Linked DNA regions of Drosophila melanogaster. The gene in region 1 interacts genetically with each later gene. Each region holds a gene or a part of one and is shown on either strand. Other genes may lie near its edges.

Region 1 (7,571 bases):
GTACGCTTAAAAAGTCACGTCTTCATTTAAAAGTGATGTCACCAGTGCTTTTATCAAAGTTCAATATTATATATATTTTTTCCCCTTTTTCTAGCAATCTATTTGGATTTTTTATGATATCCCCATCTACCCATGTGAACTGTCCTCGAAAAAACTGCAAAAAGCAGCTGCGCCAACTGCAAACTGCCAGTAATAAACAAAGACTTGCGTTTGCATTGTTGCAATTATCGCGTGGCCATCGGAAACATTTGCCAAAACAGATGGCATTTGGCCATTAAATACGTATATTTACATATATATTTATCCAATTGATCAGATGTGTGCGAAAAGCTGGAGAGTGCATCCATCCATTTGAGCCATTTGGATTTCCACTTACCACTTGTTGCGTTAGCATTGGGATTTCCGAAGAGAAGAACATGGTTATTATTTCAAAATTTATTTTACTGATGATTAGTACTAAATAATTTAGTTTTCTTGTAATTTACCATTACCACTTTCAATTGATTTTTGGTTTTTCTTGTTTTTCACTTTTGCAGTCTTAAAAATTTGTCTAAACAATACATTTTCCATGTTGCTTCAATTTCTTGTTTATTTTTCAATGAGTTTTTTGAATAGTTCGTTACGCTAATGTTAAATTTGCTGAGAGAATTTGCTATAAGAAAATGAATGCCAATAGGTGTGGTTGGTGGCGGGGAGGGCGGAACGCGGGGTAGGCGTGGCATATTGGAATCGAGAGTTGCATTAATTACAAATATACATATGTATGTGTGGCGTTTGCTCCAAATGCAAACAGACGCGGCGACAACAATGAGATTTTTAAAAAGTCAACATTTTCACATCGTATTTCCTCGCTGCGGGTTATTAGTTTCGTTTGTATTTCAAAAATATATTATGGAAAAATTGTACACTGATATTGAGGTATTGGAAAAAATCGGCATATATGTTAGGTATATGTATATCTGTATCTGCATATGCACTTGCATCCGTATCTGTATCTGTATCTGTATCTAAGTGTATGTACAGGACATCCAAAAGTGTAAGATTACGCTAGGTAACGCTACTAGTTCGACATGCAAAAATGGCCTTGCGCTTGGTGCTGTTCTTACTGGGTAAAAATCGAGGAGTGTCCAACGGAAAGTGGGCCAGTTGCCGCAGCGAACCGACCGGGAGGACATCGATTCCTGATCGTTCCTATTTATGGCAACGTAGGACATCTATGTAATATAACAAGTGCAATTCTACTACAAATGTATCGCTGAAAGGCTTTAAAATTGTTTCCTTTTATAATTGCTTGCGGTTGTTTCGATTTCGGTTGTTTCTATTTGGTTGGTTCTATATCGTTTTCGTTTCCCCTTTATTATGCACTATATAAAAATATCTGCTATCATTTATGTATTAAAATTCACAATTTTGGTTACGCTCCATTCGCAAAAATACGTTTAGTTTAGATTTCTAAATATTCACTGTCCCTCGAAAATCGCGTGGATTGGCATCCATCCATCCATCAAGTGTTAGCCTTTGGAAAGGGGCGACTAAAATGGGTTTTGAAATCAGACACACGCACATCCATATCCATTCGCTCATTGATAGTGGGATTGGAAAAGGACCTCGTATCCACTCCTCGCTGATATCGATTGAGTCCCCGACTCTCAATCCTGTCACTCTGACAATCACGCTTATTTAGTCGATTAATTAGGGTATAAATTTGAAGTAATTTACTAGCTACTGGTTGGTTTATAAATATAAATTACAGGTTTAATTACAGTGCTTTACATTGGAATTTTCGTTAGAGACGCTGAATATATTAGCTAATATCGTGCCAGCATTAGAAATACAAAACGGCTATATTTTACGGAATCGAAATGGAGGCTCGAGACACTGAGATTGCATTTAATGCAAACTGGCACCCAATACAAACACAAAGCACACACAGAGCGGCCAAATGGGCCAAATGGGGCAAATGGGACCAATGGGACAAATTGGACAAATCGGGGCCGGGACAAGACACACACGCACGGAAATATACAAAATACACTTTGGGCTTAGATGTACGATGCGAATAACAGCTAAGCAACACACGTCGCTGTTATCGGCTGATTACTTTTAAAGCTTTTTGGCGCCCAGCTTCATGGGGCCGCTCGCCCGCTGGGCCCGTCGCGCCTCCAACTCCCGCTGCCGCTGCAGCTTCTTCTCCTCCCGCTTGCGTCGGGCCTCGTCCAGTTTGGCATTGCCTGAAAAGTATCGGTTTCGTTAGTGGGTCGATTCACCAAGTGGGTCGCCAGAAGGGAAATCTGATATGGCAATAGGCATGTTAGCGTGAGGAACTCACCGAATCCCGATTCATCCAGTGGCTCAAACTCCCCGTCGGCCCACGAATCGCTATTCCAATTGGCATTATGCGTCGAATTATTCAAATGCGACGAAGGCGGGCTAATGTTATTGCAATTGGCAGTGGCCGACGTGGGCGATGTGTTGCTGCTGGATAGATTGGGCAGCTCCTTTGGCCGGAGCATCGACTGCTTCGACGGCGAGGTGACGTGCGAGTTGAGCTTGGCCAGCGGCTCGATCAGATCGTTTAGCTCGTGCTGCTGCAGCTGCTGCTGATGTGGATACTGCTGCTGATGTGGCAGCAGCGGGCGCTGATTTGGCTGACTGGATGACGTGGATGATATCGATTGTCTAGCCAGCTGTTGTTGCTGCTGCTCCTGCTCCGCCTGCTCCTCCTCCTCGCACTGAAACCCACCCAATTGAGTTAGTAACAAGTTTGAGTTAGTTAGTTTGATCAGATCTCACCGGATCCTCCTCGAGACTGCCCCACTCCTCGTTGTCCCAGCCGTCGCGCACTTCGCTCAAGGCATTGGCTGCCATCAAGGCGCCATTATTGGAGCTGGCCGCCAGCGGACTGCTGGGATCCTGAGAGGTCTAAAATTAAAATAATCGAGCATAATTAGCAGCATTCAAAAGCCAGTCGATTCGAACACCACTACTTACATCCATTTCGCCCCAGTTTTCGTTGTCCCAATCGTTGTTGCCATAATCGGAGGCCGAGGCGGAGGTGTCATTGCTTTCATGCTCCAGCGACGTCATTGAGGTAACACTGCTCGTGGTGGTCGATAAACTGCTGCTCGATGGTTGTTCTGCTCGCAAATGCAGGCCGGGTTAATTGCATTGTGGTAATTGCATAAGCGAGGCGAATACTTACCAAGCGACGCTGGCTTGGACAGATTGCGTCCAGTTAAAGGCGGTCGTGGTCGAGACGAATCACTTTGGCTGCGATAGAACTTTGCTGTGACGGCCGTCACCGCCCATCCCGCCCATGTGGCCGCCGCATTGCCAATCGAAGGCGTGGCCGTGTGAACATCCGCCTCTGCGAACGAAATATTTGATTAGTAACCTAGTTAGGATTTCATTAATTAACAATATTGTAAAGTACTCACCCATCGTTTCCCGCAAACTGGGATCCTCGGAGACCTTCTCCAGTTTGCCCAAGAAGCCTCTGATAGTTTTGAACGCCGGATCGCGCACCGTCTTCTCCGGATCAACGGTGAGGGAACACAGTGATGGCAGAACGCGGTTGGCCACCTCGCTGAGCAAAAAGTACTGCTGTGTGGCGGCCAGCGCCAGGACACCGGCGACTCTTGCCGGCGGAAAAGGATCCCGCATGGCACGAATGAAAGCGGAGACCAGCACACGCTGACGCACCTGCGGATGCAAATGCGGCGCAATCTTGCCCAGACAGACCGTCGTATTGGTGCGAATTCCACCTTGGTCATCCCGCGCCTGCAGCCTGGCAAAGTGACGCAGGACCTCCACATTCAGGTTGTTGTAGTTGAGCTTGGGCGCCAAGTGGATAATCGACTTGACCGTCTGCTCACGTATGGTGGCGTTGGTGTCTAGGAACCCGTGAGCCACCTGTGGGAAAATCTGATCGTTGACCACCTGTGGCTGCAAGTGCGCGATGAACAGATCCAGCTGCTGCAGCAGGCGCGATCGCGTCACTCGATCCGTGGAAGCGAACAGTTTGACCACGCAGGGCACAATGCGTTTCTGGTACTCCACCTCGTCCAGCAGTTTGCCCAGCTGCAAGATTATAACTCTTTGTGAAATCAAGTCATATAGGAGTATGCCAATTCAATAGACAACCTTAAACATGGGAGCCAGCACGGCAGAGCCCGCATCTCCGTACTCGTAGGCTGTTATCAGCTGTGGAAGAATCTTATGCCTGCACACGTTGTCCGGAAAGTTGTCGAGATGCGTGGTCAGACCACTGAAGAAGCGATTCTTCTCCGCCTTGTCCTTGATTTGGATCTCCTCTAGGAAGAGCAGTGTGTCCACCAAATCGTTTTTGAAAAAGCCTCCAGGCTTGCGGCAACGTGTGATTATATCCGCCGGGTTGGGACGATTCGAAGGCGAGGCGCCAACCAGCTCACAATAGAGCGATTGCAGGGACTTGGGTATGTGTTCTATATCCTTGAGGTTGGAGCGTTGCTTGAGCACACCGTTGAAAGCTTCCCACACGAGGCAGCCCAGGCCCCACATGTCCACGGAGCTGGTAGAGAATCCGATTTGAAGGATTATTAAAATAGTCTAAGGTGAGAGGATTACGTACCATTTGGTGGCCGCCTTGAGCTTGCTCGGATCGTTCTTTTCGGGGGAATCGTAGACCTCCAGGGTCACAGGTATTTTGGCGGGCGGCATGGGATTACCATCCGCCGCTGAGACGTACTCCAGGCTGCCCAGTTTCCATTCGCCGGAGGCATTGACAAACACCGACCAGGCGGAAACATTGTTGTGTCGCAGATTGCCATCGTTGTTGAGAAAGGACAGGGCGCGCTGAAAGGGATTGGTGACTTGGTTAGCTAGGGCAAAATATCAGGGATATGGATACCCACAGTGATCTGGAAGATGCCCCAGGCCAGGTAGAGGCCCTTTTGGACATTGTCGCTGCCCAGCTTGGAAAAGTAAGTGCCCAGCGGATCCACCGCCTCGGTGGCCACGTACAACATCTTGTCCGTTTCCAGCGAGTCCAGATACTGCAGGATGCTGGGGTGACGCAATGTCTTGAGGCGCTTCAGCGCCGCCTTGGCCAGCTCGCACTTGGTGTCGGATCCGCTACGGATGTCGTAGACGAACACAGACACCTCCTCCAGCGTCGTCTTGCGCTTGGCCTTGTGCAGCGTCCATATGGAGTATTGGTCAAAGCCGCCCACCGGTTCGCCAATGTCGTAGGGGAAGTCTTTCGAGGAGTCGCGCGAGAAGAACGACCACATTATGTGTTTTGCTCGGCGGCTCAATATTTTGTTACTGTTGTGTCACACAGCAACAGCAACAACAACAGCAACAACTGGCGATTGCAACTGCAACAACAACGCACTGCGCAGGCAACACACGCACGCACACACGCACGCACGCACTCACACACACGCACACCTTGTTGCTGCCACACAAAGGCACTGAAATCGGTGGAGCCCCGATTCTCGGTTTATCCTCAAGCACTATGCCTCTGTCTTTAGCCTTGGCTTGAGCCCTATCCTCCTCATGCCAATCCAGCCGCCTGATGTCCTTTATTTTCCTCCGATGCGCAGCAACAATTTTCCAGCTTTGCTTACGCACACACACACGCACACAGCTAACTTATCCGCTGTTTTTCGTCCCCAGAGGTCTCATCCCTGGGATCCCGGGTGTCCTGGACAGGGCGATCGTGTCTATGTGGCTCTGCTGCGGGTCGGGGGAGTCAGTAGATCGGATCGGGCGCTCGTCTCCGTCGAATTATCCTAATCTTTTTCCCGAGTACGTCAGCTTTTTTTTGCGTGAGGCGTTAGTGACGGAACTTCGTGGCTCGTGCGTGAGCAGCTGATTCCAAAACAGAGCTGGCAAGGAGAAGGAAAACTCTGGTCGAGGGTAGAAAACAAGCTGGCATCTTTGGCAAACCTCTTAATCCTTATCAATTATTATTCTGTTTTTAACTCTATTGTCATAATTATGAGTTACATAAATTCAAATTAATTTCAAGCTTTATTGTGCATTCTGAAGCTTTCCAAAGAAGTTTTGTATTTTATCCAATATTAATAGTTATATGTAGCACAAATCCATTATCCGAAATTTCCATAATTAAAATAAATTATTTAATATAATATTTTACCGTTCACCACGAATCGCCACCGCGTTAACCCGAACTGGGTGGCAACTCTGCTCGGTGTTATAACACTCGTTGTGGCGCAGCCAACTTAACGCAAGGTAGGTGAATTTTCTCAATTTTTGCCGAGTGAATCGAGCTAATTTTCGCGACAGGGAATCTTCGACAACTCACAGGATGATGATGCAACGCACCCAGCTCCTGCTGCCCCTGGCCATGGAGGCCACCATGCTGGCCCAGCAGCAGCGTGGCATGGCCACCCTGAAGATGATTTCCATCCGCCTGAAGTCGGTGAAGAACATTCAGAAAATTACGCAATCGATGAAGATGGTGTCCGCTGCCAAGTACGCTCGTGCCGAGCGAGACTTGAAGGCGGCTCGTCCTTACGGCATCGGCGCCCAGCAGTTCTTCGAGAAGACGGAGATCCAGCCGGACGAGAAGGCGGAGCCCAAGAAGCTGCTCATCGCAGTGACTTCGGACCGTGGTCTTTGCGGTGCCGTCCACACTGGTGTGGCCCGTCTCATTCGCGGCGAACTGGCCCAGGACGAGGCCAACACTAAGGTGTTCTGCGTGGGCGACAAGTCGCGCGCGATTCTGTCCCGTCTGTACGGCAAGAACATCCTGATGGTGGCCAACGAGGTGGGCCGACTGCCCCCCACTTTCCTGGACGCCTCGAAGATTGCCAACGAGGTTCTGCAGACCGGTTACGATTACACCGAGGGCAAGATCGTGTACAACCGTTTCAAGTCGGTGGTGTCCTACCAGTGCTCCACCCTCCCCATCTTCAGCGGATCCACCGTGGAGAAGTCGGAGAAGCTGGCCGTCTACGACTCGCTCGACAGCGACGTGGTCAAGAGCTATCTGGAGTTCTCGCTGGCCTCGCTCATCTTCTACACCATGAAGGAGGGCGCCTGCTCGGAGCAGTCCTCCCGTATGACTGCCATGGACAACGCTTCCAAGAACGCCGGTGAGATGATCGACAAGCTGACCCTCACCTTCAACCGTACCCGACAGGCGGTCATCACTCGCGAGCTGATTGAAATCATCTCCGGTGCCGCCGCCCTCACATAAGCGAATGGAATGTGTTCGAACAGCTCTAACGATTCATACAGCTAATTGCATATGGTGCCAGGCACCTGGAGCTACGCCTGGAGCCCTAGTAATGTTACTCTTTCAGAAAAACCCCAGAATAAATAGCGTGGAACGAACGAAAATAACTTTAACCATGGAGTCCTTACCTAATTGGAGTGGGAGGCAAGGAATTTGAAAGCACTTGCACAGGTCTGTTTGGTTTTTACACATTGATATCATGGGATTCGATTGCATTCTTATGCAAAGACCCATTGATATAACTTAATGTGCATAAAGTCTCAAATTTCAAGTGGCAATGACTAATGACCAAAAAACTATTGGAACGTTTATGTATATTTTGATA
Region 2 (4,713 bases), on another chromosome or scaffold:
AATCGATCCGAAAACTATTGTTTTTCAAACTGGACTAACACTGCGGACCAAGAACCAGATTCACGTGAAGCTCGTGAGAAGAAAATGAGGCAGCTTTAACGGAATGGAATTGTTCACGGAACTCTGTTAGTCATAAAGTGCACAGTGAACAATAGTTTCATCCAAAGACTCCTTTCTTCTTTCTCTTGGTGCAAAAATGTCCTGTGACTAGCTTATGGCCGATAATCGTTGGCATCTCGACAGCTGCCGCCCTATAAATCATTCATGCCCTGGCGGGTAGAAGCACTTCTCTTCTTCTTTTCCAGCAGCTATTACAATTCCAACTCCCATTTCCCACACAGTGGGAGCTCCCTGTCATTTCCTACCCCTCCTATTATTTTTGAGGCAGCCCAGGAAAAGTCAAGTAATCTCTGTCCTTTAGCTCACATATATGGGAATGCAAATGCATAATGCGCTGGCGACTTTTTGTCATTTGGTTTTCCTCCTCCTGCCGAGGCTACATCCCTTTCCCAACGACTCCTTTTTGCTTTAACTGCGATTTTGACAGTTCGTTACTCAGTTATACCATTTGCATGCATAATGCAGACTCAGCTTTGTTCTAAGCACATAAAATGTGGCAAAAAGACATGGGTGACCATGGGCTCGCAAAATGCACTGTGTGTGGTGCACTGAAATAAGTTCCATCTATCTTTGGCTTCCTATTTATTTTATGAAATATTTATATCATGTTTCGAAGGGATATTTTTAGTTAGCTTCTCTTTTATATGTGGCTTACTACTACTCTACTATTGAAAATAATTATCGTAAACGCATATTTTTTAGTGTGCGCCCAACTCGTTCCAACATCATCATCCATCCTGGGGACCCAGGATTTATGGGACAGCACATGGAAATGGGTGAAAGGCAGCTCTGGTTTTAGCTGCTACTCGGCTACTGCATATTTCATTAGTGCTCTGTGCGCTAGTGCTTCGTCGCCATAAGTCAACATTAAATGGATTCCATTTGTGAGTCATGTAAATTAAATTTCCCTCGCTTTCACATGTGTCAAGCGAACGTTTGGATCTCAGAAAATCTAAGAATCGGCACCCCTCTCACCTGACTGACTGCCAAACTGCGCACCAAAAGGCGAAATAAGAAGTCGCAATATCCGCCACAAAAGAAAAAAAAAGAAGATAAGTGCGACGCACTTTTGCCTGACTGAAGGACGAAACCCCAAAAGCTCAGCAGCTCAACAGCTGGTCCTGTCGATTTGCCAGGGGAAATTAGAAGGCAACCGACTGGAGGGATGGCGATGGCGATGGCGATGCCGATGGAGGCAGAGTGAATTAATTACTTTATGCGCATCTGCGTGTCGCTGTCGGGCACTTTACACTTCCCCTGTATCCTTTTTCCCACTTCCCTTGTCCCTTGTACCCCACATCCACCCATTCCCCCGTCCAAAGTCTTCCTTCCCTTTCGCAAAACTCACACATGACGCTATTAATTTCTATTACCAGCCTCGGACGGCCTGCCTGCCATACTTCATTACGGACTTTCGTGCAATTGCCGCTTGCCCGAGCTACCTTTCAGCTCCCCTTCCCCTAGTGCACTGAGAGAAATTATTGGTGACTGCCAGCGGAATTAAGTTTCGTTGAGATTTAGGAGCAAAGGTCTAACAATCAAAAGTATGCATTAAGTTTGCGCCTTATTAATGATTTCACATGTTCAAAATGTTCAGTAATCATAATTTATAATGTATAAATATACATATGTAATTGAAAATATATTTGATCAAAAATAACTAAATTTATCATTAAATTCTTACCTAATAAATTATCATAATACGCTCGAAATAAAGGTTAAATAATTATTTTACAAGGTGTGAAATACATAATGATTTTAAATATTTATGTGAATGCTATACGAAAATTTATTTCGATTTGTCATACATGACAATCATGTTTTTCTTTATTCTTACTGAAAAATAATGTTTGTGATTGCGTTTGAAAACTAACTTTAAAGACTTCATGATGTCTTGCTTTGAATGATTCATAATAAAAGCCATTATCCTTGCACCTTATAAGCATGTCTTTTATAATTTAATATGAAAAGCAACCTAAAAATTTGTTGCCAAATATTTTCCGCAGTGCCCCGTTTTCGCGATGCCCTTGCTTGTTTGTTGACTCTGATTGGGATTAAGGTTGCCCATGGGCTCTCGGCTCGCTTTGATTGCCTTTGTGCCGCAGATGCCGTGAAATATTTCATTTGCTGCCAGTTATTTGCTCTTGCGCTCTGTAGCTTCCCCTCCCGGTTACGAATTCATTTCTACTCCGGATTTATATCCTTTTTGTTCGAGCGTGTGTGATAATCGCTGGGAGCTGGAAGCTGTGAACTGTCCGATTTCCATGGATGCGTGGAAGGCCATTTAATAAAGTGACCGAGTTCGAGGCGGCCCGTCATAATTTATTTACGCTTTTCGTCCGTCCAGTGAGTGAAGGTCAAACGGAGGAGCCCACGTGTGTGCGGGGCAATTAGGACTCACCTGGCTCGGATGTGGTGCTGGTCTCGACGGGCTCCGTGTTGGCATTGCTTTTGTCCAGGACCAGCAGCAAAACGGTCAAGGATATTAGGGCCCAAAGCGGCTTATGGCGCATTCGCTGCCTGCTCCACATGTCCAAGGATCAGATTGCGATTGCCAGAGTTTCGGCGTTGTTTTGTTTTCGTTTGTTAAGCAACCCGATGAGTCCTTTCAAATAGCAACGAATTTAACACCACTGCACTTCACGAGTTGACTTCTTAATGGGCCAAAAATAGAAATCCACTTGGCCAACTCACACACACACACTGGCGTACCGCCAGCAGTAACCCACACTCGCGCCAAACTGTATGCAACGTGTGCGCGTGTATGTGTATGTGTGTGTGCTCTTTGGCTTTAAAGTTTCACTTTTACTTAGAGTCCTTTGCGGGGTTTTATCCTTTTCGAAGCTGGGCACCTATCCTCTCGAGCGACGACAATCGAATGCCACGAGTGCGGCGAGCGTCTCGCTTTTATACCTCTCGTTGGATTCTGCGCAGCTTCGGCTCTGCTTCGTTCGGCTGCAATCGGCTGCATTCGGCACTCGACGAAGGATCGCACTCGACGAAGCTCGCCAAAGGATGTGTCACGTGCATTTTGCCGGCAAATCGTGTGTTTTTGTTTTGGTTTGGCCCATGTTTTGCTTAGTCGCTGTTGCCATTGCCGTTGCTGTTGCTGTTTTTCGTCATCTCCGATTTTCCTCTCTCGCTGCTTTCGCTTTTCGCTGTGCCCGTGTGTCTGCGTGCGTGCCCTTGTAACTCTCACGTAGCTCTCCTTTTTCCCACTCCCCCCCGAACCAACCAAGGAACACCGCCCACCCACGTGGCCAATTCCCAGCTACAAATGAAGTTTTCCGCTTGCTTGCCACGTTGATTCGGTTACTTTCCAGTTTAAAACTAATTTAATTATACTTCCTTAGTTCAGGCAGATACTTTTTACTGGTGCAGCAGTGAATCAATCGCATAAAATCAATTACTATTTCCTAATTCACTAGGGGAAATCGTTGCTGAAAATGTTATTGGCTTAAAACTGCGATTTATATAGCCCGAAAACATGAGCACATAAGGTACAATAACTAGACGACTATAATTATTTAATTGAAATATTGTATGTAGGAGATAAATATGAGAATTACATTTTTGGATACATTGGCAATAACTGCTAAAGTTTAAATTTTATGATTTTTACTTGGCGGTAAGCTTAGCAACTAAATGCAATTTTTTTGTAGCTAATTATATGTTTATAAATTCAAAAGTGTGCTTCCGTGTTTACTACAAATTCAAAGTGGGTACATTCTATTGTGGCTAAGGAGTGCAGTGGAGCCAAGTGCTCGGCAAGGGACTCACCTTTGCTGCTCCTCAGCTGCCGCTGCCCTGAGAAGTATGCTATCAATTGTGCTGACGTCGCCTGTCTGCTGGCCATTCCTTTTGGTCCTGGCCAATAATCAAGCAGCAGTTGCGGTGATTTTGAGGCCTCTGCTCTGCGACCGAAGCCAAATGGCATTTGGCATTTGGCAACCAGGTTGCGGATGCCACTTGGCCACTAATTACGCAAATGAATGCTCCGACAGGACGCCCCTTGTTGTCCTCGCAAGATAAATGTCACTCATTGGAGGTTCAGGTTAGTCCTGGTCCTAAAGCGTAACCGTAACAATACCGTCTGGGTCGCTCTTGTCTGTCGCATTGAAATTTTGCTGAAATGCGAAATACCAAATGCGAATGCGAATGCGAAACGCGCTCAACTCCAGTCGAGTGGAAAATGAATGTTTGTGTGCTGCATTCTCCCCCTCAGCTGGCAATCCAATTGTGCAGCGGCATTATCTTTTGTGTATAGTTTCTGGCATGCCGTCCTAGTGGCCCGAAACTTTGGAATGCAATCAGGCTGAAAATTTATACGTTTAGCATGTTTATCCTGCCTCCTGGCAACGAGCGGCTTTACAGCAAAATTCAATTTGCTGCCCTGCAACCGCAGGCTGAAATTACATCTCTGGTATTCCAACTCAATTCGATGCCGACGGGCCGAAGGCTAATAACCAATGATTTCCTGGGTGCCAATGAAGTGCGTGCACCTGACATGGTCGCAGCTTTTCTAGATTAAAATGCCTGCATTTAGCAGATTAAATTATTTAATCAAGACAATTACTTACTGGCTGTGCGATG

Evidence for each region. A genetic interaction does not mean that the proteins touch.
Region 2: of yata (region 1) and hig, changing one suppresses a phenotype caused by changing the other (phenotypic suppression), as found in Drosophila melanogaster (one study listed by BioGRID).

The regions. Positions count from the first base shown.
Region 1 is NT_033777.3:29,747,490-29,755,060, reverse strand, and holds yata (yata), read right to left. Parts: upstream 5,843-7,571; 5' UTR 5,271-5,842; coding exon 4,893-5,270; intron 4,834-4,892; coding exon 4,610-4,833; intron 4,550-4,609; coding exon 4,144-4,549; intron 4,081-4,143; coding exon 3,438-4,080; intron 3,368-3,437; coding exon 3,203-3,367; intron 3,138-3,202; coding exon 2,992-3,137; intron 2,923-2,991; coding exon 2,794-2,922; intron 2,733-2,793; coding exon 2,330-2,732; intron 2,232-2,329; coding exon 2,104-2,231; 3' UTR 533-2,103; downstream 1-532. Other genes in the region: ATPsyngamma (ATP synthase, gamma subunit), read left to right, coding at 6,314-7,207.
Region 2 is NT_033778.4:9,244,244-9,248,956, forward strand, and holds the start of hig (hikaru genki), read right to left. Parts: upstream 3,007-4,713; 5' UTR 2,652-3,006; coding exon 2,522-2,651; intron 168-2,521; exon of another isoform or gene 89-167; coding exon of another isoform or gene 1-88. Other genes in the region: Cyp4p3 (cytochrome P450 4p3), read left to right, coding at 1-88.